Drosophila melanogaster: one gene and its partners. The protein of the gene in region 1 interacts with the protein of each later gene in a pairwise test. Each region holds a gene or a part of one and is shown in the gene's direction. Other genes may lie near its edges.

Region 1 (8,287 bases):
ATCTAGTCTGTAGATTAAGTTTATATATATATGCGCATATGTAGATTGCATTTTAATGGGAATATTTTTGACTAGGCTTAAGCACTGCCATCGCAGTCGCACTCCACAAAGATCGCTGATCACTGATCGCTGATCACTGGGTGGACAAACAGGAACCAGACACCGGAGACCATCAAAACAATAAGTTAAATGAGATATGGAATATTTAGAGAACTGTCTACAGCCCGAATTTCTGGGTAACTTTACATAATCTTTGTAACTAAAGCAACGTGTTGATTGTAATTTGTATAAATAAACCATCTATAACCGTATCATATCAGCAGTAGTAGTAATTATAATAGTAATTATCGTAGTAGCAGCGATTATAGGTTGCGGGATAGGGTACGGGAAGAGGAACCGGAAGAACTCCCGCGTATCCAGCGTAGCCGCCATATCGGGCATATCCGCCATATCCGCCATATCCTCCATAGCCTCGAAAGCCGCCTCCTCTAAAGCCTCCGCGGCCTGGTCCACCGAAACCGCCACGACCGAATCCTGGACCACGTCCTCCAAAGCCGCCTCTTCCAAAACCACCTCTTCCTCCTCCGAATCCGCCTCCGCGGCCGCCACCTCCGAAACCTCCAGCATGACCGCCTCCTCCGTGTCCTCCTCCGCCTCCACCTCCTCTCGCATCGGACATATGTGCCTGGGCCACAAGGAAAATCAGACAAAACAAAATCCACAGTCGGGACATCTTATCCGGCCAGAACCTTTTCAATCCGTTGGTAAATCACGACTAAGTTCCGATGACTGGGAAATTCTATTTATTGCAAATTAATTAGGACACCCGCGTTAATTGGCAATGCGGGCATGAGTTCATATATTGAAAACCTCGATCGAGTTACTCTTGTTTTTTGTTTCTGTATTTGCGTTGCTTCGCCTCTCTCCGCCGATTCACACTCCTCGATATCACAGCAGCCTAATTGATTAGGCATCAAATGTAATTTGTTCCTTAACCGAATGAACTTAAACATATAGATGGGGGATGAGACGCTGGAGGAGCTTCCTACAGCGCCTCGGGGCATTGTTTGTTTTTGCTGATGATGAGCCTTTCCGGATCCAGAGAGAGCCGCTTCAACACGTCGTACACTTTGGATCGGATATCCACCTCGAAGTCCCGATCACGTCCAAGAATCCAGATCTGATCGGAGTGACCCAGTGAGCCAATGCTGCCGCAGGACCACAAGATGGCGAAGTTCTCGTAGTCTGTGTATAGCACCTGGTACTTTCCGGAACCTGGCAGTAGTCGGGCAATCACGTCCGGAAATCGGGTGGTAAACTAGGAAAAAGGAATTGTGTATATTGTGTGTTGTTAATATTATTTATTGTAGATACCTTAAAATCCATGATGGAGGATCGGCTGTTTTCTGGTGTTGCATAGCCAATGTTCACATTCGGATTACCAGTTCTAAAAAGGACAAACACTTCTAACACACAATATATATTATTAGATTATTTAATCATACATGCGATTAATGTTTTTAATGGCCACAGCCAGCTTGAAATTGGAAAACTTCGATTGTTCGCCCTTGTTGTACGGCTCAAACTGAAAGGTGGTGCATCCGGAGGCGATTTCCGGAAGGTAAAAAGAGCGCTCTACCTCGTACCAGTGTCCAAGGACCTACAAGATAATGACATTACATAAAATAGATATTTTTACTTCCTTTTCAACATGTTCTTAAGTTCTTAAGTAAGTTGTTTCAGTGAATGGAAATTCTTCTACATATTCCAATTACTTCATTAAATCTGAAGGGTTTTATTGGAAGTAGAATCACCTGATAACCATCAGTCTGAAAGCCAAAACCTTTGTCACGCAGCGTTTCTCTCGGCCAAGAAACACTTAACTGGGTTACTAATCAAAATGCCACTTAGCGCAAACAATGCGTAAAACGTAAACATTTTTGAAACTGGTTATAGACTCGGTTGTGGCTGCTGGTCATTGAGAAGAGCCGCTCTTTTGGCCGCTGCTCATCTTGCAGTTCAAAGTCGGCGGTGGGCGCCGCATCGCATTAAAGAGCCACTGCTGGCCAGTCGAGGTCTTTGCCCCGGGTCAAAAGTGCGTTTAGGGGGCGGGGCCGGTGGCAAATGGCTTAATTTACGCCTGTCAACAACTCAATTGGATGATGTGCCATTTGGAAGTGGAAGTGGAAGTGGAGAGGAGGTCGCTAGACCCACATAATGTGAGTGACAATGCCTCCACCTCAACCGGGCAATTATGGTGCATTATCTTTTATGCAAATCAAGGCTCAATCAATTTAATTTGAGCTGCTTAAGTGATTGTTCCAATTTTCTATCCATGATCTCGACAGTGTATCTAAGCGAACAGTCGTCGGCTTTTATAGCTTAAAACAACTACGTGCATTTATGAGTACTAAACAAAGTCCATTTATGGATTCTCAGAAATACTTTGAAACAATCTTTTTACAGCCACCTGAAACCAATTTTCTAATTTTCTCTTTCGAAAAACATTAGTTTCACATTTGTGATGTCATATCGGTGGTTTGGCAAGATGATTCCATAATTACTTGATTGAAATATTGGCTGTAATAGCGAAATGTTCGCACCAGGAATGTTCCACTGTAGTGCACTTTGTTGTCCTTGGCGTGCCCATGTCTCAGCATTGGTACTGGTTGATTTACTTCTTTATAAAATAAGTGGCTTGTTTACCATCAGCAGGCCATAAAGCTTTTGTGCCGCTCGCCTCCTTCTGTAAAACTGGTTTGCATTTTACACGGCGGATCGGATTTGGTGGCCTTAAAATGGTTCAAGTTCATCATCTGCACAATCCCCAAGATGTAAAGAGGGGTCTTCGTCTGCGCCAGACGCCTTGTGCCAATTAATCGAAGATGTGACACGTTTAAGACGATGGCAAATAGACAGGCGATGAGTGGCCAGTTATACAATGCATCTCGTTGTTGTAAGGACAAACAGTTCTCATATATTCATACTCATAGTTATTTTCATACTCATAAATTCTTTGTAATCTTATAACTGGTGTTACTCAGTGGGTCAATAGACACAGATCTTTAGTAACAGGTTTGAAAGGTGGTTTAATAAAGCCAATTGCAAATATGTATATATAGACTGCAAACAAATGTCTGTATGAATATTTACAACACCCAAACAGGCTGTTAATAAAATAGCGATCGAAATATGTAGCAATTTTAGTTAGAGTTTGTAGAGTATGTATGAGAAAACCAGCAACTAACTTACCCGACTCATGTTAAACTTTGGCATCGATGGATAATTCGGGCAACGTCCAAATCCGTAGGCATCTGTCCCAGCAAATGTCACTAATAGCACTCCGGACAACAGCCAAACCCTCGAGCCAAGTGGCTGGCCACTCATCATGGTTGCTTCTGATAGTTCACTTTGAATATTTGGCACTTTAGGCGGCAGAATCGGCACTCCAGCACCTAACTAAACTGTGTGGAATTCGAAATCAGGCAATTTCCATTGAACTCGACCGTTTTAACTTGGCTGTGCACAAAGCGGTGATTTCCGATACGACGGGTTCACTTGGCCAACGAACTATGGATCGTCATGAACCAACTACATATACATTTCCTCAAAGGTACACCATGTCCGTCCATTAGTATTCCGGATGGGATGTGTGCGATAATGGAACGTGCTGGCTACCGGCTTAGTGGAGCAAGCCGGACCGAATTGGTAGGTCCCGCAAAGAAGAAGAAGTAAAGTGATGTGATGTGAGGTGAAGTGAAGTGAAAACCACTAACTGGGTTGGCGCGGCGCCGTGTTTATTATTGATATTTATTTTGGTTTTTGGCTCGTGCCCGGCCAGCGAGTTACGTAAAAGAAAAGCCAACGTCAAAATGCAGCTCGAAAACTGGTTGCTCCACCGATTTTCGCACACACCAAGAGATACTTATTGCGCATTGCAAAAAGCGGGTAAAAGCGAAAATACCTAATCGAGGAAATACTGCGCTGGGATGCATCAATTGTGTCATGGAGTTAGTCGGGTGCATTGCTCGATTTATCTGCGAAAGTGGGCATGGTGTAGACATGGTAGCTTCATTCGAGCGCATCAAGTTCAAGAGAAATAGGAAGTGGCTTTTCTTTGCGCTATTTCGGTTTGCCATTATCGCATGGGCAATGCTAACTATAACTATTTGATTGATAGATAGTGATGTGAAAGGTACTTTGATTGGTAGCTACATAGTATAGTTCATCAGTATCAGTTGGCAATTATTTAATAATATTGTAATTTAAGACGAAATGGAACTTGATAAAAATGATTATGTATATTTTAAATACAATCGTGACTTTGAAAGAAGTATTTCCTTGGGTCTAATTGAATAGTGATATAGGTAAATAGTAAATAATTATATGAAATGCAATAGAATTTACTATATATTAAAACAAGGACATTTGCAAGGAAGAGTGAATACTTGTACCTAGACTAGATCGCGACACATAGCGTAAATTGTTGTATCTAGACTACCAGCCAGGTACACCCAAATATACACTTCCCATCACTGCCAATAGAAAAAAGTGTTAATTTCACAGAAAACGACAGCCGCAAGTGGCTGAAAATAAACCAAGGCAATTGCAAAATACTCTTGTTGTCCAGCTGATTTCACTTTGTGCACATACAAGTATCCGTTTCGATTCGCGTGTAATGTGATAAAGTTTTCTTGCAAAATGCAGAACTAACTATATCTCTTTGTTTACATCGGCTTTTTGCGGTGTTCTTTGTCTTCTCGCGGTTTTTATCTCGCGAACTCGAATTTCAGATGGCGCCAGTAACGCGGCTCATTCACATCGGTTGACCGATCGCAGCAGCAGTTCAATGGAAACTGAATGGATCGGCGGTTTGAATTGAATTCGATTTCGTTATTTCCCACCGCACGGTCACACTGCGATCGCTGCTCTGCCTATCGATATAAAATAGTAATCGATCATATATTTGAAATGATAACTAGAAAAGAACCGTTACGTAGCAAGTTTATTTGAGTTCAGTATCATAAAAATATTGATAAAATCTAGGTAATTTTTAATAAAAATTTAAAATCTGTTGTAACTTGTTGTATTTTGTTGTTAGCGAGTCAGCTCGGTGGGACAGGTCAGTGGGACACGTCAGCGGAACAGGTCGGTGGGTCAGATCGGCGGGACAGGTCGGTGGGGCAGGTGGGCGGGACAGGTCGACAGGACCAGGTTTTTGAATAACAAAAAATAAATAAAAACGTCCCCTAGTTCCATATTCCACTGTTCCTCCATCGCCGCCAATTTGGCGCACATCTTAAAGATATCCGCGTATTGGTATTTTTTAGTACATTCGTTCATCCATCTGTTTCGGCGGATATTTCACGCATTTTGCCTATAGTTAACTGAGTTTTGTGGTGAGTGCTCGATTTAAATGGATATTTAATGTAAGAGAATGTTGGAGAAGGGCGTGGTTGCACATTTTTCGCCCACTGGCAATTAGCCTATGTCAGCATACACACCCAATTGAAAAGATTTCCGTACCGTATGGTCGAATGCTTCAATTCTACATATGTATGGGGCATACCCGCGATAAGAAAGCGTCGGCTAGATGACACATAACTTCAGGGAATTAAGGCGGTTTCAATTGATTTTTCACAGAAAGGGCACGGAACCAGACTGTCAAAATGGTGGCCATCCAATTGTTCAACGAAATCGGCAGTATTTTCCGAAACGTAAGTTTGCATTCGCCTTTTTCACCACATTTAGCTTACTCCAGTTTCTACTCCTTCCACAGACCCCCACGTTTGCTCTCGTCTTGGAGACCCTACTGCTCATAACCGTGATTTGGTTGCTGCTCCACAGACGAGGAGGAGGTCGTCGCCGACAGCTGACCAAGGAGGAGGAAGACCGAATAATCGCCGACTATGAACCAGAGCCCTTGGTGGCCGACACCGATCCCAATCATCCCCTGCTGCACACCCGCGTTGTGCAGTCCAGGGTGGGCAAGCGCATCCAGGTCGATGGACACGACTGCCTAAATCTTGGCTCTCACAACTATCTTGGCTTCCTCGAGGACCAGGAGATACTGGAGGAGGCCTGCAAGTCGCTGCGCAAGTACGGAGTTGGATCTTGCGGACCTCGGGGCTTCTACGGCACTATGGACGTGCATCTGGACCTGGAGGATCGTATTGCCAAGTTCATGGGCCTGGAGGAGGCCATTGTCTATTCCTACGGCTTCTCGACCGTGGCCAGTGCCATTCCGGCGTATGCCAAACGTGGCGACCTTATCTTTGTGTAGGATTGTCTACTTCACCTACTCAGATTGGCGACTAATTACTTGTTATTTGTAGGGATGAGGCTGTCAACTTTGCCATTCAGAAGGGTCTGGATGCTTCACGAAGCACAATCGTTTTCTTTAAGCACAATGACGTTGAGGATCTAGAACGTCTGCTGATTGAGCAAGAAAAACGAGACCAGAAAAATCCGAAAAAGGCGGCTAAGACACGTCGCTTCCTCGTCGCCGAGGGTATCTATATGAATACGGGCGAGATTTGCCCACTTCCCGACCTGGTGGCCTTGCGTCAGAAGTACAAGCTGCGTTTGTTCATCGACGAAAGCATCTCCTTTGGCACATTGGGCCAGGGTGGTCACGGAGTTACGGAGCACTTTAATGTCGATGTAGGTGGTAAACCGGAAAGAAAAACTAAAATTATAACTGGTATTTTTCTTTTAGCGTGATGAAGTCGATCTGATATCGGCCGGCATGGAGGGTTCGATGGCAACAGTCGGTGGCTTCTGTGTTGGCTCGCACTTCATAGCCGAGCACCAGCGCCTCTCTGGCTTGGGCTACATCTTCTCGGCCTCGCTGCCGCCCATGCTCACCCAGGCGGCTATTTCAGCGTTGGATCGTTTCGAACGAGAACCACAAATCTTCGAGCAGCTGCAGGCAAAGTCTAAGACGTTGCACCAGAAGTTTTTGCGATTCAGCAAGCTAACCCTGCGCGGCGATGAGGTGTCACCAGTGAAGCACTTGTATCTTGCCCAGCCCGCCGAGAACTTTGACAAGGAACTGAAACTTCTAACAGAGCTGGCTGATAAGGTAGGCATTTTATTTCCCCATGCAATTATGAAAACTATACATTTCTACTCACTTTTCCCAGTGCATTGCTCGTGGAGTGGCTGTGGTACAGGCTGCCTACCTGCAGAACAGGGAACGCCAACCAGTCCGTCCCAGCATTCGCATTGCTGTCAACCGTTTGCTGGAGAGTTCGGAAATAGACAATGCGTTTGAGGTCATCGAGAGTGTTTCCAGCTCCGTCCTATAAGCCTTGTTGTTGGAAAGGAATGATCTTCTTTCGACAATGGCCTTGCTGTTAAGTTTTAAGGCCTGCTGGCCCCATCATTTTTTCATCACTTCTTCACGACCAGTCCAGTATGAATTGTTTAAGTTAATAGCTAGCCTTGCACTTGCTCTTTGCACTTTGTTGCATTGCATTTTAATGAAAAATTTTAAGTCTAGGAAAACTTTCAAAGATTACACGTTATAGATAACAGAGCTGGTTAAATAAAACTATTAAGTTTATTTGGTAGTTACGTGCCCTTTTATTGGTGTTTCTTATCGCCTGCGCAATCGCAAACGTTTTTGAATATCCCGATAAAGATAAGGGTAATATTATGTGGCATTTGTTGTAAAATTTACAAGAACAACTTCCACAAAGAAACATTCATTATTTATTTATGTTTTTCTTGCATGACAATTAAGATACACATCACACGCTTAATAATAACTAATATGTGGAATAAGCCAGATGGAATGGAAATGCTTTGAAACGATTTGATTGCCAGTGGAGCAGAGCTGTTTCCGAGTGGCGACCTAATCTGTGAGCAATAATCATAACCCTTCGACTTTCAAACCCATGTTTGTGCATTCGATTCACTGATGAACTTGACAACGACGACCCCAAATCATGATGTTGTGCACATAGCGCTCTGATTTCGATGCCGATATGCCAGCCGGCAATCAGCGCCAATTGAGCGTATACGTACTATGAACTTGGGTGCGGTGCTATCAGTGCGAATACGCAACATTTGGCGACAAAAACATGCAATTACAGCAATTTTCGCTATGTTGTTTACATACGCGAATGGCGGGCGCAAAAGGCAAAGCTGCAAAAACAGCTGATCGCAAGCGAAAGCTTTCCGTGCGCAGCGGAGCTTTTGAGTTGGCCGGCAGCTGATAAATGAGCACAGTTGTCGCTCGTCGGTCAACAGGCAAACAAATCAGCAGCGTCTTCGCCAACGC
Region 2 (8,673 bases), 6.1 Mb from region 1:
ATCGAGCGAGTTTCCGGAACTCGGAGGTCATATCTTCCATTCTATCGGCAGCCAGATACTTTGGTTCACAAGCATAACTGCCAAGGAAACTCACGTGCGACATTGTGGCAACATGGAGAAGTCGTTTCCCATAACACCCTGGAAGTACGGCCTACTGGTCACCTGCATTCTCATTGTGGTAAGTGAAAAAGATGCGCATTTCCCCATTCCAGAGCTTTCCCATTTTCCCGAGCCTGACCCAAATGGGAATCTTGCACAACACCCGGTGATGCGAGCAATGAGCCAAAATCGAAAAATCAATATTGCGCCCAAGTTCACATCTTTCGCAAGAGAGCAAAAATTGGTGACAATGAGCCGCTAAAGACTATAAACAAATCGATGCAATCTCAAAAAATATTTATAAATGCATAATACCTGTTCACATACTTACATAATTCCGCCGGCCAGCTGTTTGTAATTTTTGCAATATCTATAAATGGCCCGCAATTCTGGGTGGCTTACGCCAATTAAATTCACTATTATATTATATAATTTATTCTTATACAATTATGCACATGGGACACTGTTTACAAATGTCAGAGATTGATTAAGCATGAAAGCATAAAATGTTCTTGCATTTGCATGCTATAGTCTCATAGATTTTCATTTTGGTGCTTAGCAAGTACAAATGCCAAATGCCTAATGCTCATTTTACCATAGTTTAGAAAACTAGTTGATGGATAGCTGGTAATGTCTGACTGCCAAATGTAAGTTGAAAAAATGACGCTGTAGACGCTAATGAATCGTGCTTGTATTTATTTATTTGGCACCCCAGCACTACACGTGCAATTTATTATTTAAAGTGCTTGTCGCGGCATTAAAATATTATTAGGTCAGTACAAAATGTATATTTAGACTTTGAAGCTGGCTGATCAACGATTTAATAAGTAACTTTCACCTATTAAAAATAATAAACCCTAAAACTATTACGCCTTATCGGTAGGTGTTAAATAATAATGCATTCCATATAGCTAGTTCCTGAAGTTCATACGCACAACCTTGGCAAGTAATTTATTAAGTTATTGGGGCCACACTTTTAGTTTTAGTTTCTAACTCTGCGAGAAAGATGTTCGTTCAAGAAGAAATAGATTAGGAAGTAATTTAGTCCATAATTTTCCTTAGTACTAAGGACTTAACTAACTATTTTGTTTCCCTTTCGTTCAGACGTGCAACGTGTTCTTCTTCTCCTGTGGCGTGACCACCTGGGGTTCGGCCGTCTCCGTCTACGGCAGCTATGGGTCGGCACTTTGCGGAGGAGCAGTTTTCGGAGTCGCCTTCCTGGGCATGTACGTGGCCTTGAAGGTGTCGTACAAGTATTCCATATACGTGAGTAAACTGCGTTCACAACTGCAAGTCACAGACTAACCTCTTTGCATTCAGTACCTAATTTGCAGTGGCCTGGTTATAGCCGCCCTGGGCTCCTACCTCTTCACCTTCACGGCGATGCGGGAGCAGCTGATGGGCAGGTTCGAGGAGCGCATGCGCGACCTCTTCGAGCGAAAGACCCACAGCGACGACAAGATGCAGCCAGTGCACAGCCTCTTCGGCTGCTGCGGCATTGAGGGACCGCAGGACTACCTTCAGGAGGAGCACGGCGCCCTGCCCAGCAGCTGCTGCTACGCCTTCGACTGCTCCAAGCCGGCGCACGTCTACGAGGAGGGATGCTCCACCAAGGCGGTAGCTACTCTGAGAATGCAGGCGGAGCTCAACTACTACAGCTGCATGGCGATCATTGCCCTCGAGGTGAGACATTAAACCATACGCAGGGTAAAATTCACTTGCCACAAGGGTACTTGAGCACAAGGGTATGTTTCGGCACGTCGCTTATGGAAGAGTTATCCAATAACTTTTGAATTAACGCACACAACTGACTCAGTGAACACATTTTAACTACTTTTTTATTCGTCACGCTTAAATAGAAATCCCTGCCAAGATAAGATGTGTGTTTTTTCATTCAAACCATTTTTGTTACTAAAGTTTTCTTTAAACTAAATATGTCAAAGGTGCGATCGTTACTATTTATGTACACAGTTGTTGAGCTTTTGCTTGATGTTATAAAGTTATAAAGTAGTAAGGACGTTAAGACAGTAAAATATTTTTTTAACAAAGTTCGCTTGTCTATTCGATTTCGATTCCATATCAATATTATATTATTACAATTTATGTATTTTTCAGTTTTTGGGCTTGTTCACCGCTTACCATTTGGGCAAGGCTCGCAAGTATGCCAAAACCAAGATAAAGGACGAGGAGACCCCCATCAACGACTGATGGCCGAGGATACCCCTGCATGATTATTGATAATAAAAATTAACCAAATTAGCTAAAATGCCATTAGAAAATAAATACTTTCCATAGCCTAAACGAGTTCCCCGCAGTTATATCTCTCTCTCATTGAATTCGGCATCATTCGGCTGCGAAGATCTGAAAAACAAAAGAACATTGAAGAGCGCAGATCGTGATTTTGGGATTTTACGTGCTGCCGGCAAATATTTGCATCTGAAATTCATTGTCTATCGGAACTCCGATCTGGCAGGTTCGATCATACAACAAAGATTACTCTCTATTACTAATTATTCAAGAGGAATTAGTTTGGAATTTTACAAAAACAGCTTAATCGTAGCACTAGGATGGGCTGCACTTCCGGTTGCGTTAAGTGTTTCCTTAACACTCTTAATACTCTGAACGCGGTGAGTTCTTAACATATGCATATATTCACATGCATATGAATAAAAATTGGTAATTCTGTGCTATAAGAATGTATTACAAATGTAAATTAGCCATCTGTGTTCCCACAGGAATTTAAATGAATACATTTTTCTGCAAATCGACAAGCAAGTACGCATTCCGTTTTCATGGAATCGAAAATTTGTTTGGCCAGTAAACGTAATTTGCTTGTCAGATATGTATGAGAAACATTTGCCGCACTTTAATGATTAGCCCCAACACATTCCAAATTCAATTTGTTTGATCTAGAAATGCTTTACGACTTTACCATATGCTGCGATTTGTACCATATTTACAATTTATGGAAGATTATGGAAGAAAACAAGATTTTTAACTGCCAAAAACTTGTTTTATCCATATCCTTTTAAAAATAACTCATTATTTAGCACTAAGAGAGCGAACGTTATTGTGAAACACCAAATCAAATAACAGAGATTCCAGTGCCCAGATAAACGGGAAAATCTAGTTTCTTCACCGCGGCATTTGATAATATTTTGAAAATACCTCAAGCTCCATTGGAGTCATTGACATTACCACCCGATATCATTGCCAAATGCTAATCTGAATTGACCCTATGCTCCCTCTGTAGCTTTCGGGTCTATCCCTGATAGCCATTGCAACGTTGGCCCTCTCGAAAGCCCCTATCGCCTACATTCTGTTTCTATATGGACTCGGTGGCATTATCTTCGTTTCGGCTGTACTGGGATGCTGTGGAATCTGCATGGAGAACGTGTGCATGACCGCAACGGTGAGTGGAAACGCTATGTCATCCGTTTGGTAATTCACTCACTCTATGTTGTGTGTTGTATGTCAACAGTACGGCTTCTTGCTGTTGGCTCAGCTAATAATCAGCTTGCTAGGCATCTTCCGCTTCAAGTTCACTGAGGAATACATAGAGAAGTTCGCCGCCGAGGAGGTTCAGATGAAATGGGACGAGGAGCTGGTGGAACCCGGCGCCATGGACATTTACCAGACAGTGGTTCGTATTCTGGCGAAGATCATTCGCATCATGCACTTTTAATCGAATATATTTAATATGCTGGCATTATCGTTTATCATTTTTATGAATTATCTTAACAGTACGAGTGTTGTGGGCGTGATAGCCCCGACGACTACGTGGCCATCGGTCGTCAAACCTTGCCGCCCAGCTGCTATCCCCAGGAGGACCCCCAGATGCCCCACTATCTAGCTGGTTGCGTCCAAAAGTCCAGTGAGAACTTTGTGGTGCTCTTCAGCTACGCCCACGATACCAACTGGATAGCACTGGGAATAACCGTGAGTGAAATGTGTGAACTACACATGGAGGGACTAATCTTACAGAGTTTTTACAGATTCTAATGATGATTGCCGCCTTTTACTTGGTCGGAAGATTCAGGAAGCAGCGCGTTCGCTACACCTACTAAGGAATACTTTCGTAGAATTCTGAATATATTATTAGGGCGCCAATATTCCTTTACAGTAATCTTGTATAAAGTTTTTGATGCTCCCAGGAGAAATAAAAGCGTATCCCGATGAAACGAATACTTCCGATTATACAAAGGGTTCAATCCGAACTGATTAAAATTGTGATTTTTAAACTAGTAACTTTGTATTTGTAACTATGTATTTGCCTAACAGGGTCAGTTCAGCTGTCTTTCGGTATATAGCTCCTATACTTTTAAGATTCACACAAAGTGAGCAATGCATTTAGGGTTTCTATTTTGATAGTGGAAGTCAGGATCCTGCACTCCGCATCGGAAACTGAGCTCATCCGGTGATGTTGATGGCGTCATTCAGTGCCGAGTGTCTGACGCAATCGAGCTGAATCAATCTTACCGGCATTAATTCGATCGTTGGTAAATTGCTTTGAGAGGCGGTGGTCGATTAGACCCAACTCCGCTCTCGATAAGACACACACCGCGGCTAAACATCTGGCAAACGGAGACATATAGATTTCGCTTCAGTTCTGTCAAGCATAACCAGCTCCACGCTTCGAACTTTCCCGCCTCAGTTTCTGTTTGGCTTCCGAATGGCGGGAGCCGCACTAGAGTGCCACCGCCACCTTTAACTTTCTTGATTTGCCTACTGCGAGTGCAGGCGAATTCGGCTAAATGGATTTTAGTCACTCGAAGTATATTAATTGACAAATCAATATAACAAGATAGTGATATATTTTGTAACCTCTCATTTTAATAACATCTATGGTATCAACGAAAATCAATACAATAAGCAATGAACTTTTGCTATCGTCTGGGAGCGGGTTATTGAGGTTCTACTGTATAGTAATGTGTGTGCCCGGCTGCTTTTGTTTGCTTTAACAAACACTGCTAGCTGGCACTGTGGGGCACATCATTTTAACTCAATCACTGTTCAATTGTGAAAATGAATTTAAAAGAATCAATTTCGTAGAGCTTGCTTAGAGAAGATATTTGATTAAAAATTGATTACGTATTTCATATTCGTACAGGAAGTCCATATCATTTGATTCGTGCCGAAACACTCTGCATTGCCTTAAGTATTAGGAGCAGTGTTCGTCACTATAATTTTGGTGCTCCATGAACAGCTGCTATTCTATTCATTGAACCCACGGTGCAGAAGCGGCAGCTTTGGAGCTTCGGACCGCTCGACTCGGATCGGATTCCGAGCGAGAGAGTTTTCGGGGAGCTCAGTTTGCTCGTGACCGTGGCCGCACCAGTGCGCACTCCTAACCGATTCAGTCAGGTTCCGCCGATACGGACTCAAAAACTGAAAATAATCGGCGGCACAGCAAACTGCCGCACTTGTGGCACTGCGATTCGGTTGCATTCTAGCCAAAGGCAAAAGTTTGAAGTGGAAAAACATTCGAAATGGGTTGCGCAACGGGCACCATAAAGTACTCGCTGTTCCTGTTCAATGCCTTATGGGCGGTAAGTAGAGCACCGAATTGGAATTGGCATATGGTGCCTTGGGAGTCTAAGCGATATATCTGCGTATCTGCCGGTTCTTTTCTACAAATAGCCAGCTAATTGCGATGGTTTGAAATTTGTGTGAGGGGAGCCTCGGTGTTTGGGGTCTATGCTGTCCGTTCCACGTCCACCTGGTCGGTGGATGATATCATCTCGGGTGCGTGTTTGGTTTATGACAACGCTTCGCGGCTGGCTGTGTGTGTTAGCCAGTGTCTATTGTTAATGGCTTCTGCTCGGCCTTTTAGTTCCTTAAGCCAAGAGGAGGGCTTGCTAGCCAAGCGGCGAAACGAGGTTGCTGAAGTGCGTCATGCATTCGGATTTCGTTTGAAAGGCTAATTCGAGCGGAATATGGAAACCGGATTATTCACCAGATAATGATGAAAATAGCGATGAGGCCGAGCTCGACGCATTAGTCGGTGCCCATATGCATCAAAACTTTCTGTGGCCTTCTCAAGGCCGCGATGGTCTGATGTAAGCCCAATCCTAATAGATTGTTGACTGATCCTTTTGGAATTCTTCTTCGACCCTAGAGAGTATACAAATTCTTAATCACACTCTCTAGCCAACTCGGTCTGGTCATGTCCGTTTGTCCGTCTGTCTTTCTGTCCGTATGAACTTCCCACTTCAGCGCTTTTAAAAAAATGTTGTCATGATTCCAAAACGCAGTCGCTCAAACAATTTAAGAGACATTTTTTGTTTTCTTAATTACGTCTATTACTCGTAAAAGCGTATACTATATTTGCTTGAACAGGTCGATCTATAGCCATTTCCGTCTGTCCGTATGAACATGGAGATCTCAGGAACAATAAAAACTAGAAGGTTGTGATTCAGCATGCAGCTTCTAGCGACAAAGACGCAGCGTAAGTTTGCTGACCCATGCTGCCACGCCCACTCTAACGCCCACAAAATCGAGCTTGTCCAAGCTTTTGAACAATTTTTAAATTTTCTCATTTTATTCCCCAATATCTATCGATATTCCAGAAAAAATATAAAAATTAGCGTTCGCATTCACACTAGCTGAGTAACGGGTATCTGATAGTCGGGGAACTCGACTTGTTTTAATCTTTGCTTTTATGCATGTGTGTTTTATAAAAACTTTTAGGGCTAGGCGGTCTGAGATTATAAACCCAATTTTGTTTGGCAATTTTTTACATAGATAGATAATATTCATAATTTAGAGGATGCTGGACATATTTATTGACTATTTAATTTTCTGACTTTTAGATACTCGGTATCCTGGTGCTCATCTTTGGCGGCCTTGGCTGGGGAGCAATGCCAGATGCATATGCCATCGGCATCTTAATTCTGGGCGGTACTATCCTGGTAATATCCCTGTTTGGATGCTGTGGAGCCGTTCGCGAATCGCCGCGCATGCTCTGGACGGTACGTAACTGAATATTGCAATTAGGTGAATCATACATGAGCTAATAATTCTAATTGCCTTGCAGTATGCGTCACTGCTGCTGATTTTGCTGCTACTTATAGTGGCGTTTATCATCCTGAATCCCAAAGATGTATTTAAAAAGTACGCGCTTCAAACGGTGGAGAATCAGTGGGAGCTGGAGCAGACGAAGCCTGGCAGTATGGATATTATTCAGAAAACGGTGAGTGCCAATGTAACAAAGCAAAGGCTAGTTTGTTTGTTCAAATGCTTCCAAAATAAAGATTAAAAGAGTGCTTTAATTTGGAATTTTTTTTGTTATATACATAAGTACATAAGCAAAAGGTAGATAGGCGTTAGGGCCGTGCTCTTTTTTAGCTAGTGTTATCTTACATGGTTTGAATTGAATATAACGCTTTAGCTTATGTTTATTTCTAATAATGTAGTATTAGAAATTGCGCAAAGCTGCTGAAGTACATATTTATGTATGCTTAGCCTTCTCCTTTAATTTTGGTGTTTATATATTTCTATCACTTTAGTACTATTGCTGTGGCCGCGACAGTGCCCAAGACTACTTGGATATCAAATTCTGGAACAATACCGTTCCAAGTAGCTGTTGCAAGGACGACAGCTGTGTGAATCCACTGAATCTATATGTGCGCGGCTGCCTCATCAAAGTGGAGGAGGCTTTTGCAGATGAGGCAACCACTCTGGGCTATTTGGAGTGGGGTCTGCTCGGATTCAACGTAAGAGCTCTTTATTTCTATTACGGTGGAGCAAATTTCTAACTCATTTCTTTATTTCTTATAGGCTGTCATTCTATTGCTGGCCATCATCTTGGCCATTCACTACACCAACCGGCGGAGACGATATAACTATTAGTGAATATTTACTGAATAAGAAACCAAACTCCTCAAATCTAAGTGTCATCAGTGTATGGTTTGTTTTTGATACGAAAACCCAGCGTTACTTGCCAAGCAACTGAGTTAATCTTTTTATTAAAGCAATGTTTAACACATTCGAATATTAAAATAATATGTACATAACTACAAGTACCAAACACATGTCGTTTAAAATACCAAATATATTTAGAAAAATTACTTTCAACAATATTTTCGACAATAATTAAGATTTCAAAATAGGTTCGCGATACCGGTGATACAAAATATTTTGAGTTTTTCACCTTGACCGTCCGTTTGTCCGTCCGTATGAACGTTCTCGATAACTATATAAAATGTTTTAAGTTAGTCCACGCAAAAACAAATTATGAGCACATGTGGAACAAAAAGTTGGAAGCAAAAGCGTTAAGGCTTACATATATATGTTTATGTTTCTCTCCAATGATTCGTGTAAAGGGTATATAATAGTCGAAAGCGGTTTCTTTTTTTCCTATCCATGCACTTTCCTTACAGCGGGCACATCCATCGGAATATGAAAATATTCTTTCTTTTAGCAACATAAACTTCGTGTTTAGAGCCACCTCTCTAAACATTTTACTGAAGTTGAGCGATAGTTTTTTTCAGTGATGTTGTGCGTTGGAGAAAACTGACCACTAGAGGGCTCTTCAAACGAATTGCGCAAACAAAAGTCAAGCGAACTGTTATG
Region 3 (7,028 bases), 2.3 Mb from region 1:
TCACATCGCTGGCAGTTCTAGGCTCATATTTCAATCAAAACTGCGACAGCTGCAAGCCAGCGGCATAAGCTCGAACATAATTTTGGCAACGGTCCATCAACGGTTTTGGCCCGCTCGGTCTGGACCAGATTCGCCTCCTTGCCACATCGCCACCTCGTGGCAGCCGCGGCTCATCAATATTTACAAGCGGCGAGCCCCGAATTTGTCACCCCAACGTTTTCCAACGGGGCCGGAAAGTTAATTGCCAAATGACACAATTAATGCCGGAGCTGTGGCAGTCGGAAAAAGGCCACAAGAACACACCCACACAAACCGGCCAAAATTGACAGTTGGGGGCCAAATGGAGGCGGCTTAACCTCAAGATTAATGTACGGCAATTAAACGTTTAAGTGTTGATTAATGTGACTTTCTGTTTGGCCAGGATCAGCAGAGCCACGAGAGAGGCAGGAGAATGCAGTGGCCAGCTGCTCTGTCAATCTCACCTAAAGGAGAAGAAAACTCAAGCAGCTCGGCCTCGCGTTTTTCCATTTTCTCTGATTGTTTTCCTTGTCGCTTTGTTTGTAATGGTCGTCTTTCGGATGGCCATAAATTCCTTGAGTAGGCACTGCAACAACTCAAACTCAAACGGCAAAGACATTCGCATTTATCATCTTTACGGGTTAACTGCCAAAAATGCTTTGAGGCGCCCTGTGGAAAGTAGAAAGTGGGTGGAAAGTAGAAAGTGGGTGGCAGTACGAGTGGAATTGCTCCATGCCTCACCAAATCCACAAAGTCAAACAATGTTGTATGCTTTACTAGTTTTATCATTGCTGCTCTGGCTCATCGCCCCACCTCCACCTTTGCTATCGTGGTTTTCCCTGTTTCCTAGCCATATTTTTGCTCATCTTCCTTTATCCCATTTCACCCAGGGAATTTCGACTGCGTTTATCTTGTTGAGTAAGGTGAACAGAACACGAAGCATAAACTATGAATGTCAGATAAACAGCCGTTAGCTTCGCAGGACCAGCAAAAGCTGAAGGATTTGAAGGGTTCGCATTAGTGGGTGAGCGAATTTTAAAACCATTAGGTCGTTTTTGCTTTTCAAACGAATCCTTTCCGTCCATAAAGAGTGAACTTTATTGGCTTGGCTAGCATGGCATACTTTTGACGCAATCGTAAATTCCACCGAAATCGCCAAGGGAAGAATAAAAATGTTATTCGATTTGCAACGACAGCGAGCGAAAGCAAGGCCATTTCCTAGTAAAATTAATAATGGCAACACAAACTGTTATCTAGTTCAACTTCCATACTCGCGAGTAAAAATTGAAGCTTTAAAAAAGGAAAAGATTTCGTTAAGACTGCTTTTCAAAATTCTAATCACATTAAATATATAAAAACACCTTAGATTCCTAATGTTTTAGAGACGAAGACATATCTTCTTATTATGTCTCTATTTCACGTGCTTACGAATATTTAATTTACATGTAATGCGAGTGAAACTTAGTTTGTGCTTAGTGCTAAACTCGGCACATGTATTCAGTTGCGGATCAGATTTATCTCTCCAGCAATAAAATATTCAAGACACAAGCATATCAACTTACGATTTGCCTGTCCTTGCACTTTTTCTACCAATTTCACAGATTTCCATCAACTTGGCTCCTGCTGACAGGCGAATACTTCCCTACCAAGGAGCAGCTATCCGAGGGGAATACAATGGCAAGTTCTCGTGGCTGGCAAAACAAATGACTAGAAGAGGCTAGAGCAGCATTTCTGCTGATTTTCAAATGAAATTTTAATGAATGCAAACACACTCACATGCAGATATGCCATATACCAGATACCCATGGCGAGTGCCAGGAATCGAAACTGAAACTGAAAACTGAAACTGTTTTTCGTGCCATTCGTGCGTCAACGAAATGTGAAATCTCCAGAGCGCCAAGCGGCCAAAAATCTGTCTGTCCAAGTGTCCATCAGTTTCAGCCAAACGACCCCGAAGGCACTCCCACTTGGCCTCCAGTAAAAGCAGCAGTGTACATTTACAACTTTTTTAGAATCAGCATTTGGGACATTAGTTGACTTTTTAAAAAAATTCTTATATTTTTTTTTTCTAATTTTGTAAGAGAAAATGTAAAAGTTTTAGCTAAGATATGTATCTAATGCCGTGGAGCATACTTCGCTTGACTTAAGATATTTAACACATGACATTTTACAGGGTACCTCAAAGTCGACTCACTTTGCTTCACCGTTTTTTATTTGCATTGGTGGCTGTGACCCTGCCACTTAATTATTTATCAGCCAACAGCGAGAACCTTCAGTGTAAAACTGCAGAACTGCAAAACATTTTCTCCTCGTGTTCATTCACTAAATTAGTTGAAGCATACATCCGTTAGATACGATTCTGATGATGAATGGGCGGTCGGTTAATTGATACCGAAATTCGCAAATGAATACCCATTGTTCATTGTTCGGTTCGTCCTTTTTGGCCGCTTGACTGCTGAACAGACTGAACAGGAACAGGTAGTGGGCAATTAAAACGGCTGAGGCTAAGGGATTTGCTCCTGATTCAGCGCCATTGTGTGTGAGGCGGTGCTGATGTCTTTAATTAAATTTGCCTTTAGCCGCAAATCCTTTTATGCCGCCGCCATTTTGCTGGGGCTTCCTTTGGCATTTGACTTCGCCTTCGTCTGATGCCTTCCCAGTGTTTTTCTGTGCGGATTCCAAGGATGCAACCGCAGTTGCCCCCGGGCATCCCCAGCTCCTGGCGAACAGCGGCGGCATCTTGTGATTTATTATTAAACATGAATATGAATTCCTGGATGGAATGTGCTAGGCGAAGGCTGCAGGGGATTGAGACGCGAGAACTGAGCAAAAGAAAGAAAACGCTGCCAGGACCTGTTGGCATTTTTATGCCAGCGTTTTTATGATTAATTAAAATTTATGCCCGAGCAAATTATGCTTCCAAATACAAAGACCCATAGACCCATAGAGCCATAGACCCATGGACCTATAGAACCGCATGCGTATAAATATTCCTATTCAACGCGCGGGCATCAATTCCTTGTGGACATCAAGTCGCGTGATTAAGATTAAGAGGATTGTCATAAAGAAGAACACAATTTGGGCAACTTAATTGGTGGCACTCGAGGGGCGAGTGGTGAATGGGGAATGGTGAGTGGCGCGAAAAAAGCAAAACTATGCCGAATGTCCGGAAAAAAAAGTAAGAGCATTTCATATTTATTAAAGCAATAAAATAAAGTAGGAACCAACACGGTCGTCGCCCAGATAACGTGTCAGGACCCAGAGAAATATCACCGTGTCACCCACACACCAGCCTACACCCACACAAGCACTCGTCACACACACACACACACACACACACGCACGCAGAAAGAGACACTCCCACGCACACCACCATTGTAGCTTTGGTTGCGGTTAACGTGCAAATTTGTGTGCTTCCGTCACGATTGGCCTACGGATTTGTCGTAGGTCCCTGGGCAAGGATTCGACTCGAATAAGTTAGTGTGGGCAGGGCCATAAATTTAAAATTAACCCTTTACAAAAGGAGCACAGCTTTTGACCTTCAGTCGACGCGCGGCAACATGCTTAACCATAAATCCTAGGGACCGAAAGCCTCTTCTCGAGTTCTGCGAAATTAATCTGCTTTGCAGGTGGCCCGTTTGTGCATTTTAAATCAGTAAAAATAATTCCCAGTCACAATACGATTAATTAATTGAATGAGTTTCCACTCTCGAGCCAAATGGAATAATTCAAGCATATTGGCTCGGATGGCAACCGATAAGGGATATTCGCAGCAAAATGTCATTGCAGTAGCAGCACGCCATACAATAATAAATAAATGGGAAATACGACTTGGCTTCGGGCATTTTTGAAACAGGGCCGAAATGAAACTGAAATGAGGGAATAAGGAACGAAAGTCGAACGGACTGACTCAAGTGGTTGCTTCGCAGTCAAGACAATTCGAAAAATGCTTTTAAAAGGAAATCAGTAAAGGAATTTCGCTTATGGGCAACTGATTGTGCCATCGAATCGGGCGGAACAAGTTGAACAAGTACCGGAGGGTTTGGCGGAACAGGATGGAAGCGATTTTTTGTTGTCCGCTTTTGCCTTTATTTTGTTTTTCTCTTTCTGGCTGAAACACTTGGAAAATTGAATTGTTTTAGATTTTCCTTCACTTTGGGGCTCTCCCTGCCGCAGCGTATAAATCAAATTGGATTTTCTTGTGCACTTAACTCCGATTGACCGAATCGGAAGTAAACCCAAAACTCAATCACAGGCTATCGATGAAAAGTTCATTAGTAGGCTGGCAACGAATTGTTTAGCGGCATTTATTTCAGTAATCTATTGAAATCGGTTGAGGATGGCGTATATTCGAAATTTTCTGAATTCCCCCAATGACTGGACCCGACTTAATGAAAATATCAATGGAATAAAGCCACTGAATAGCTGCTTTTATTTCTTCAGCTTGAAAACGGGCTGCAATTTGATCGCCGGATTCGAAGCATTGGTAAATGTGCTACAAATGTGCAGCATTTACTTGTCGGAGATGGAGGTCAAGACCACAATCACAACTACGGAGTCACCGGATTCGATGCTTGTCACTAGGGAACCGGACGGAGATATGCTGGGACCCAACATGAGAACGCCTATGTTTGAAACTAACCTCTTCTTCCAAAAAGCACTAATCTCGTTGACTATCTTCAGATCAGTGCTACTTATTGTAGGTGCAGAATGGGTAAGTAGCTTTCATACGAGTTCAAATAATACATAATACTATACTCTTTCCAGAGTCACATATCCTGTCTCGTCCTTTGGATTTGTATTACGGTTATAACCTTGTTAATTAGCACTTGTAATGATATCATGCAAGATGACGAGCTGCTGACTTTTCTCTTTTCTACCATTTCTATTTGTGAGTAAAGAAGTAGTAGTAGTATGTGTATACCCCTTCTTAACCCTTAACTTTCGTTTTAATACAAATTTCAGTTCTTGAAATCTATTTCTGCGCAGTGGTTGCCTCCTTGGTTTTGAAATTGCAGCAAAAACTTCGTCGTAACGTGCAGGAATCGGAAGTGCTGTTCACACGAATGGAGGAAGTTTAATTAAATTCAAGATAATTAAACTATACATTTAAATTTGCAAGCTCCTACTTACAATTATTTAATTTTTACTTGTGTTGTTGCATTCCCAAATTGAAAAAGCATGTACTCATAATAATTTGGAAAAAAATACACAATATACTGCAATACTTTGTCATTTTCATATCTAAAACAATGCTATATAATGCTGACTTAAAAGCGTTTTTAGCTTAGTTATATGGTAAAGCATATGGTAATTTAAACAAATATTTCATTGGTAGTTAAGTTATAACATGCCTGGCCACTACAACCAATTTTTGAGCTACATATGTATGCACAGATTGCTACTTAAACATGCGTTTATTGTGGCTAAGTAATTGCATTTGCATTCAAAATCATGAAACATACACGAGCGGCGCGAAAACTTGCACATTTGCATGGGAAAATCCAGCAAATGTGCACACTGAAAATATAAAATATCGGGGTGTAGGAATCTCAAAAATTGATTGCACTGGCAAATTGGACAGGAAACAAAAGGCTGAAACGCTCGTTATCGCGATAACGAGTATTTCATCGTCGAAAATTGAAACCAAATATTGAGAGTATCGAGTTTAAATTCAAATTCTTACTTTTGCGTATGGCGATTTTTTGGGCGGTTCTCGCGAGGAGGTGGCCGCTGCTGCCGTGGGCGTGCCGCGTTTGTTGGGCCGATTCTTTTTGAGAACGATAACGCGCATGATGTGGCAGATATATATATATTTATTTATGTATATATTTTGTGAGAGAGGGGGTGTACGTGTGTGCGTGTGTCTCTCGGCTACTGGTATTTATTTACGCAAAGTGTTTTTAACAAACAACAAATTCGAGGTGTCGCCGTGGTCGCTAGTCTCTCTTTCAATTTTTCAAGTGATGGCCGTTCACAAACGGATTTCCACTCCTCGCGACATCGAAGTCGGATTAAGATATAGCTTTCGGATTTGGATTCGGATGCGAATTCAGATGCGGATACGGATGCGAAGTGTGTTGTGGGTGGTTGGTAGTTGGTAGTATTTTGTGGTTACAAGTACGTGTACGGGTGCTATTGCGACTGCACCCACATTCGGGTGGTGCGGTGCAGGCACAAAGGTCACGAAATTACAAAATGCAAAGCGAGCCGAGCCTCTAGCTCTAGATAGATTTTTACATAGTTGATGTTGCAATTACTGAGTAAGAATAGGTTAAACTACATCTAGATTAGCAAAGAGTATTGGTTATTTACAGTACATACGAGCTAGCTAGATTGATTGAGTTGTGTTTTATTGGCATTAGTTTGCACTAGCTTCTGATTGGTGAAATTAAGCGCTTGGCCACGAATTTCGACTACTTGGCTAGAAATTTGTTGTAGAAGGCAGGCAAAAGATTTGAAGTAATTCTGGCAGTGCTACATTAATTCGTTTTTTGTTTATTTATATTCTTTTCTATTTGTTTTTTGATTCGAATTCGTTGGGCGCACGGTGCGTATGCGTGATTGGTTAATAAAGCTAAGTTATTTTACATGGACTGTCGACTAGTTGGTTGCATTACTATTTTGATCATCGTTTGGTTACTTACGCGCTGCACTCAATTCAATTTATCTTGTGTGTGGCTATCAAAATAGAGAACAACTCGCCTAGAAAAGCCTGCCCTGAACTGCGCTCTAAAATTATGCATATATATTAGGAGGATATATATATATATATGAATGGTGTCTGTTTTCGGGATATATATATATTAATATATTTCAATTTTATTTGGATTTAAGGTTTGTGTTTCGTTTGCATTGGTTTCTTAGCTAGCCCCTCCAATTGCGCGATTGGCAGCCAATCGCACCTCAGTCGCGACGAAAAACGACGACGACGGCGCGTTTACGGATACGGATACGGCTGCGGAAGTACGGCTACGGCTACGGCTACGGCACTACGGCTACGGCTAATT
Region 4 (6,448 bases), on another chromosome or scaffold:
AAACCAATTCATAGCACCGTCTTAACGCAGATACCTCAATAAAAATATGACACCTTTATGATAAAAAAACAATTGGAATTTTTTACTTTATCGTTCTCGAAAATTTATGAGTTTTATGAAAATAAATTTATATTTATTATTCATTTATATTTATTAAATAGTGCCCAGAAATAAATACACTTAACATAAGGGACAACGGGAAATATCTTCTCTTTCAGATGTTCAAATGGTTTTACTTAAAACATTGTAAATATAAATAAAAGCCAAAATATAAAAGCCATATTATAAATATAAGCCAAATTTTCACAAAAATTTTGTTTTTCTTTGAAATATGTAACGCAACTAAAAAGCGGATTCAACATGATTGAAAAAACAGATACAATTTCGAGTATCCTAATCAATGGCCTCCTCAGCAGCCACCCTTTTGTGCTCCTCGATCTGCACCTTGTCCAGATCGACTCCATCTTTTTTGGCTGCCCGTATCTCGCCTTCCCCCTCCGATCCGTCTAGCTGGTTGGTCTGCCAAACTCCTGTCCACGGCAGTGACATCACTGACATGACCTTGACCAGACTGCTATGGTTTTCCTGGTCTAGATCACTCTCCCCATTTCCTTCCCGTATTCGTCTGTCTCCATCCGGCAACTGCAACTCCTCGCAGCACAGCATGGAAATCAGCAAGTGCTCAACGAAGAGGGTTCGCCGCAGCCTTTGAGATTCGTCCGTATCGTGGCACTGCACTTTTTGCTGTGCAATCCACTGAAGTAGAACATATCTGTCGTCGTCGTGTTCGAATGGCCCCCCGGAACTCAAGCCTAACGCCAGGGACTCTGAATTGGCTGCCTCCTCTGGAGGATCATTGTTGCTTAGGAGCTGGGGATCGGAGCTCACACGTCCAGTTGACAGCCATACGGATATATCGAATATCCTTGAATTCGGAGTTGTTTGCAACTGCGATTGGCGGTGGTGGCGCATGTGATTACGGGTAAATATTCGGCGTAGTGGCGGTGTGTCGGGCTCTAGGTAATTGGCGTGATCGATGTGGTTGTGCAGGAGATGTTTGGAAAGGTGGCGTATGGCCACCAGTTCGGCGGCCGACAGTCCGGCGCACATGGGGCAGACCACATATTCATTGGACACCCGATGTTGAACGTAAACATGTTCGATGAACCGCTTCGCTGTGAGCGCAAGTAGGCCGCAATGTGGACAGGTGAAGCAATTGGACAGGTGGACCAGCTCTGGGATTTCGCCGTAAAGCAGCGGAACCAGATCGTCCGAGTCAGGGAACAATTGCATGGGATGATTGGCGCGATGCTCTTCCGTTTCTATCTGATGATCGTAGCATATGTCACATAGGTTATAGTTCACGCAGCGCAAACACCGGAAGCGGCTACCCTGGAAGATCGTCATTTGACAGCCGTTGCAGCAAATGTTGCGGTGACCCATCCTCGATCCTTGTGCTAACTTCGTTCTTAGCGAATATACCTAAACTCTGGTCGAAAAAACGGGCAAAAGGGTTCTAAATTTTAACAAATCGAATCTATACAATGACATGATTTTCATAGATGTAAAATATTTCGGGGCGTTTGGTAATAACATATAATTCTACTTTTAAAACTATTTTTCAACCTAAATGTATCAAACTTACTCAAGCTTTCTACATATTTCCTTTGCCTCTTTTAAACAAATGTTTATTTTTGGAACCTTAAGTACAGCGAAAAAAAAGTTAAATAAACATGCACTGTACTATTTTGTCCGGTGAGCACAGCTATCTACGTGACAAATAACGATAATGCAATTTGTTTTCCAAACCTATATGAAACGAGAAATAAGCCCCCATTATTGATAAGGAACTAAATCTTTTATCTAAATCTTTTGACAGTAGAAGATAACTCAAAGGATATTTTATATTTGCTCAAATCAGAATGCAGTTATCGAAAATTAAACTTCCCTTGAGCTGAAAATTTAGCTTGAATTTATAATTATACATATGTCCAAATGTAATACAGCTTCAGTGTGTGTACACATAAAATTCAAAACCCAAAAAATCCACAAAAATTGCTATTTTAGTAGGTATTGCGTTGAACACATCGGTTCTAAATGTGGCTGTTGTGCCATTAGTTACTCTTCTGTCTCTGTCTCGGTTTGAATCTCCATCTCGCTCTCTTCTTTTTAATTTTCCCGACTTGGTGCGCGGCAGTTGTAATAGAAGTTTTCCGGCTTCATGCACCTCCGCCCTTGCACCACCCCCTTTCGGCGACCATTGTGGTGGATTCAGTACACTCTTAAAAATAAGATGTTTAATAAACATATAGCAGGTGGAAGCCGAATGGAGCGATTTGCACCAAAACAAAGTAATAAAAACAAAATTTTCTTATTTTTTGCTTATTATTTCCTATCGAAATCTATATACCCCAAGCTGTGATTATTAGATTAAGCGTCTGCGATGAGGTAGCAAAATTCTAGCACTGCATTAACAGAGCTGATTTCTGATCAGGGGTTGAGGACCTTTAGCCTGATCTTTCTTCTTGTTAATTTGTTTTGCTTATTTTGGAGCTGATTAGCTATATACCGATTAAAAGCTTTTCAATTGCCACTAAAAAAAAAGTATAAGAAACGGCGAAGACTTTTTAGCGCTGCATTTAAATTCACAAGCTTAACAGTATTCTTTTAGGCTGAATTTGCTCTCAAAAAAAGTACAATTGGTTTGGAAAATTTTAAATGTTTTTGAATGTAACCAAACACAGCGAAAAAAAATACAAATAATATTTCTTTAAAAAAAAGGATGTAAAGAAATAAACTAGTCTTATTAGTTTAATAAATACAATTTTTTAAGACACATAATTTCTATGTTTTTATAGACGGTACTTGTGGAGTAATTGAGTATACCAAATTCTTTAAAAAGTCTGTGGGAGTTCGAAGAAGGCGTTGCCGAACCTTTACCTATACAGAATATATATATTCTTCACCAGCATCACCAGCGGAGTCTATCTAGCCGTATTCGTTTGGCCATCTGTCTGTAAGCCTGTCTGTATGAACTGAATGAGATTCAGACCTCTAAATAGTTCCAATTCTTTCAGAACCTGTGCCAACAACACTCTAGATTCTTCATTGATTTCATCTAGTCTTGTCTTGTAAATATCTTAGTTCTTCTATTAGCTAAGAAATGGGTATCTGATAATCGAGGAATGCGACTATAGTGGTCTAACCTGTTAAGCGCTAAAATTCAAAGACATAACATAATTATACGTATGTATAAAAAATTAATCCATGATTACAAGGATTTCATACTTAATTATCCCTCCTCATTTCGAAAGTCTAATGATAACCCAGAAAAGCAAACAAGAACATTTGTTGCCGTAACACGTTTGTGATGCGTGAAAACGGAACATAAATGATCTAAAGTAATCTCAAACAACGTCTTCTTCTAAGTCGCCCTTAGTTTTTCTTAGCAACTGTTGCGGACTTATTAGATTAGGCTCGACTTCCCAGATAAGATTGATGTTGAAGGGTTCCCCCCGTTGAGCATAGGCATTGATACAGTGCTCAAATATTAATTTCCCAGACGTCTGGAAATTTTTTTCGTATTTTTGTTGGGTTAATTGTACTTGATTTTGTCAGAACATTGATAATACTTCGGCGCGTGACGACATGATGAGATTGCAGGAGAGTATAAAAGATCGGAGGCGTCCAAAAATTTTATTCACATTAGCAAGACTAACCGAAGTATCAGCACCATGAAGTTTTTGGTACGTTTTACATATACGCTTCAAAGAAAAACCTTTAAGAACTAAGTTGATTTTAATATTGTTACAGATCCTCTTCATTGCCCTATTCGCCGCGGCCGCTGCCCTACCTCAGTTTGGATTCGGCGGTGGATTCGGTGATCAGCAGCAGCAGCAGCAAGGAGGATTTGGAGGTGGATTTGGTGATCAGCAGCAGCAGCAAGGAGGATTTGGCGGTGGATTCGGAGGTGGATTCGGTGATCAGCAGCAGCAGCAGCAAGGAGGATTTGGAGGTGGATTCGGAGGTGGATTCGGTGATCAGCAGCAGCAACAGCAACAAGGCTGGTAAAAACCAATTCATAGCACCGTCTTAACGCAGATACCTCAATAAAAATATGACACCTTTATGATAAAAAAACAATTGGAATTTTTTACTTTATCGTTCTCGAAAATTTATGAGTTTTATGAAAATAAATTTATATTTATTATTCATTTATATTTATTAAATAGTGCCCAGAAATAAATACACTTAACATAAGGGACAACGGGAAATATCTTCTCTTTCAGATGTTCAAATGGTTTTACTTAAAACATTGTAAATATAAATAAAAGCCAAAATATAAAAGCCATATTATAAATATAAGCCAAATTTTCACAAAAATTTTGTTTTTCTTTGAAATATGTAACGCAACTAAAAAGCGGATTCAACATGATTGAAAAAACAGATACAATTTCGAGTATCCTAATCAATGGCCTCCTCAGCAGCCACCCTTTTGTGCTCCTCGATCTGCACCTTGTCCAGATCGACTCCATCTTTTTTGGCTGCCCGTATCTCGCCTTCCCCCTCCGATCCGTCTAGCTGGTTGGTCTGCCAAACTCCTGTCCACGGCAGTGACATCACTGACATGACCTTGACCAGACTGCTATGGTTTTCCTGGTCTAGATCACTCTCCCCATTTCCTTCCCGTATTCGTCTGTCTCCATCCGGCAACTGCAACTCCTCGCAGCACAGCATGGAAATCAGCAAGTGCTCAACGAAGAGGGTTCGCCGCAGCCTTTGAGATTCGTCCGTATCGTGGCACTGCACTTTTTGCTGTGCAATCCACTGAAGTAGAACATATCTGTCGTCGTCGTGTTCGAATGGCCCCCCGGAACTCAAGCCTAACGCCAGGGACTCTGAATTGGCTGCCTCCTCTGGAGGATCATTGTTGCTTAGGAGCTGGGGATCGGAGCTCACACGTCCAGTTGACAGCCATACGGATATATCGAATATCCTTGAATTCGGAGTTGTTTGCAACTGCGATTGGCGGTGGTGGCGCATGTGATTACGGGTAAATATTCGGCGTAGTGGCGGTGTGTCGGGCTCTAGGTAATTGGCGTGATCGATGTGGTTGTGCAGGAGATGTTTGGAAAGGTGGCGTATGGCCACCAGTTCGGCGGCCGACAGTCCGGCGCACATGGGGCAGACCACATATTCATTGGACACCCGATGTTGAACGTAAACATGTTCGATGAACCGCTTCGCTGTGAGCGCAAGTAGGCCGCAATGTGGACAGGTGAAGCAATTGGACAGGTGGACCAGCTCTGGGATTTCGCCGTAAAGCAGCGGAACCAGATCGTCCGAGTCAGGGAACAATTGCATGGGATGATTGGCGCGATGCTCTTCCGTTTCTATCTGATGATCGTAGCATATGTCACATAGGTTATAGTTCACGCAGCGCAAACACCGGAAGCGGCTACCCTGGAAGATCGTCATTTGACAGCCGTTGCAGCAAATGTTGCGGTGACCCATCCTCGATCCTTGTGCTAACTTCGTTCTTAGCGAATATACCTAAACTCTGGTCGAAAAAACGGGCAAAAGGGTTCTAAATTTTAACAAATCGAATCTATACAATGACATGATTTTCATAGATGTAAAATATTTCGGGGCGTTTGGTAATAACATATAATTCTACTTTTAAAACTATTTTTCAACCTAAATGTATCAAACTTACTCAAGCTTTCTACATATTTCCTTTGCCTCTTTTAAACAAATGTTTATTTTTGGAACCTTAAGTACAGCGAAAAAAAAGTTAAATAAACATGCACTGTACTATTTTGTCCGGTGAGCACAGCTATCTACGTGACAAATAACGATAATGCAATTTGTTTTCCAAACCTATATGAAACGAGAAATAAGCCCCCATTATTGATAAGGAACTAAATCTTTTATCTAAATCTTTTGACAGTAGAAGATAACTCAAAGGATATTTTATATTTGCTCAAATCAGAATGCAGTTATCGAAAATTAAACTTCCCTTGAGCTGAAAATTTAGCTTGAATTTATAATTATACATATGTCCAAATGTAATACAGCTTCAGTGTGTGTACACATAAAATTCAAAACCCAAAAAATCCACAAAAATTGCTATTTTAGTAGGTATTGCGTTGAACACATCGGTTCTAAATGTGGCTGTTGTGCCATTAGTTACTCTTCTGTCTCTGTCTCGGTTTGAATCTCCATCTCGCTCTCTTCTTTTTAATTTTCCCGACTTGGTGCGCGGCAGTTGTAATAGAAGTTTTCCGGCTTCATGCACCTCCGCCCTTGCACCACCCCCTTTCGGCGACCATTGTGGTGGATTCAGTACACTCTTAAAAATAAGATGTTTAATAAATAATGGATAACATATAAAATAATTATTTCATGGTTCAGTCCTTTGAAACACTGCGGAACCTTATAAATGAAA

The links.
Region 2: the proteins of Spt-I (region 1) and Tsp42El interact in a two-hybrid assay, tested with the Drosophila melanogaster proteins (one large-scale study listed by BioGRID).
Region 3: the proteins of Spt-I (region 1) and CG34188 interact in a two-hybrid assay, tested with the Drosophila melanogaster proteins (one large-scale study listed by BioGRID).
Region 4: the proteins of Spt-I (region 1) and CG31775 interact in a two-hybrid assay, tested with the Drosophila melanogaster proteins (one large-scale study listed by BioGRID).

Annotation. Positions count from the first base shown.
Region 1 is NT_033778.4:13,163,172-13,171,458, forward strand, and holds Spt-I (serine palmitoyltransferase subunit I), read left to right. Parts: upstream 1-5,326; 5' UTR 5,327-5,399; exon of another isoform or gene 5,400-5,643; 5' UTR 5,644-5,669; coding exon 5,670-5,717; exon of another isoform or gene 5,718-5,779; coding exon 5,780-6,279; exon of another isoform or gene 6,280-6,335; coding exon 6,336-6,663; exon of another isoform or gene 6,664-6,718; coding exon 6,719-7,084; intron 7,085-7,136; exon of another isoform or gene 7,137-7,145; coding exon 7,146-7,310; 3' UTR 7,311-7,573; downstream 7,574-8,287. Other genes in the region: CG15870 (uncharacterized protein), read right to left, coding at 301-672; GLaz (glial lazarillo), read right to left, coding at 1,046-1,318, 1,375-1,447, 1,506-1,660, 3,253-3,390.
Region 2 is NT_033778.4:7,040,366-7,049,038, forward strand, and holds Tsp42El (tetraspanin 42El), read left to right. Parts: upstream 1-5,403; 5' UTR 5,404-5,588; coding exon 5,589-5,648; intron 5,649-6,911; coding exon 6,912-7,070; intron 7,071-7,135; coding exon 7,136-7,291; intron 7,292-7,607; coding exon 7,608-7,814; intron 7,815-7,878; coding exon 7,879-7,950; 3' UTR 7,951-8,173; downstream 8,174-8,673. Other genes in the region: Tsp42Ej (tetraspanin 42Ej), read left to right, coding at 113-178, 1,204-1,365, 1,420-1,782, 2,215-2,307; Tsp42Ek (tetraspanin 42Ek), read left to right, coding at 2,667-2,726, 3,353-3,511, 3,581-3,742, 3,844-4,038, 4,095-4,166.
Region 3 is NT_033778.4:15,425,304-15,432,331, reverse strand, and holds CG34188 (uncharacterized protein), read left to right. Parts: upstream 1-4,308; 5' UTR 4,309-4,357; coding exon 4,358-4,732; intron 4,733-4,785; coding exon 4,786-4,909; intron 4,910-4,983; coding exon 4,984-5,099; 3' UTR 5,100-5,241; downstream 5,242-7,028.
Region 4 is NT_033779.5:14,735,017-14,741,464, reverse strand, and holds CG31775 (uncharacterized protein), read left to right. Parts: upstream 1-3,695; 5' UTR 3,696-3,734; coding exon 3,735-3,746; intron 3,747-3,813; coding exon 3,814-4,071; 3' UTR 4,072-4,375; downstream 4,376-6,448. Other genes in the region: CG42585 (uncharacterized protein), read right to left, coding at 394-1,443; CG31835 (uncharacterized protein), read right to left, coding at 4,465-5,514.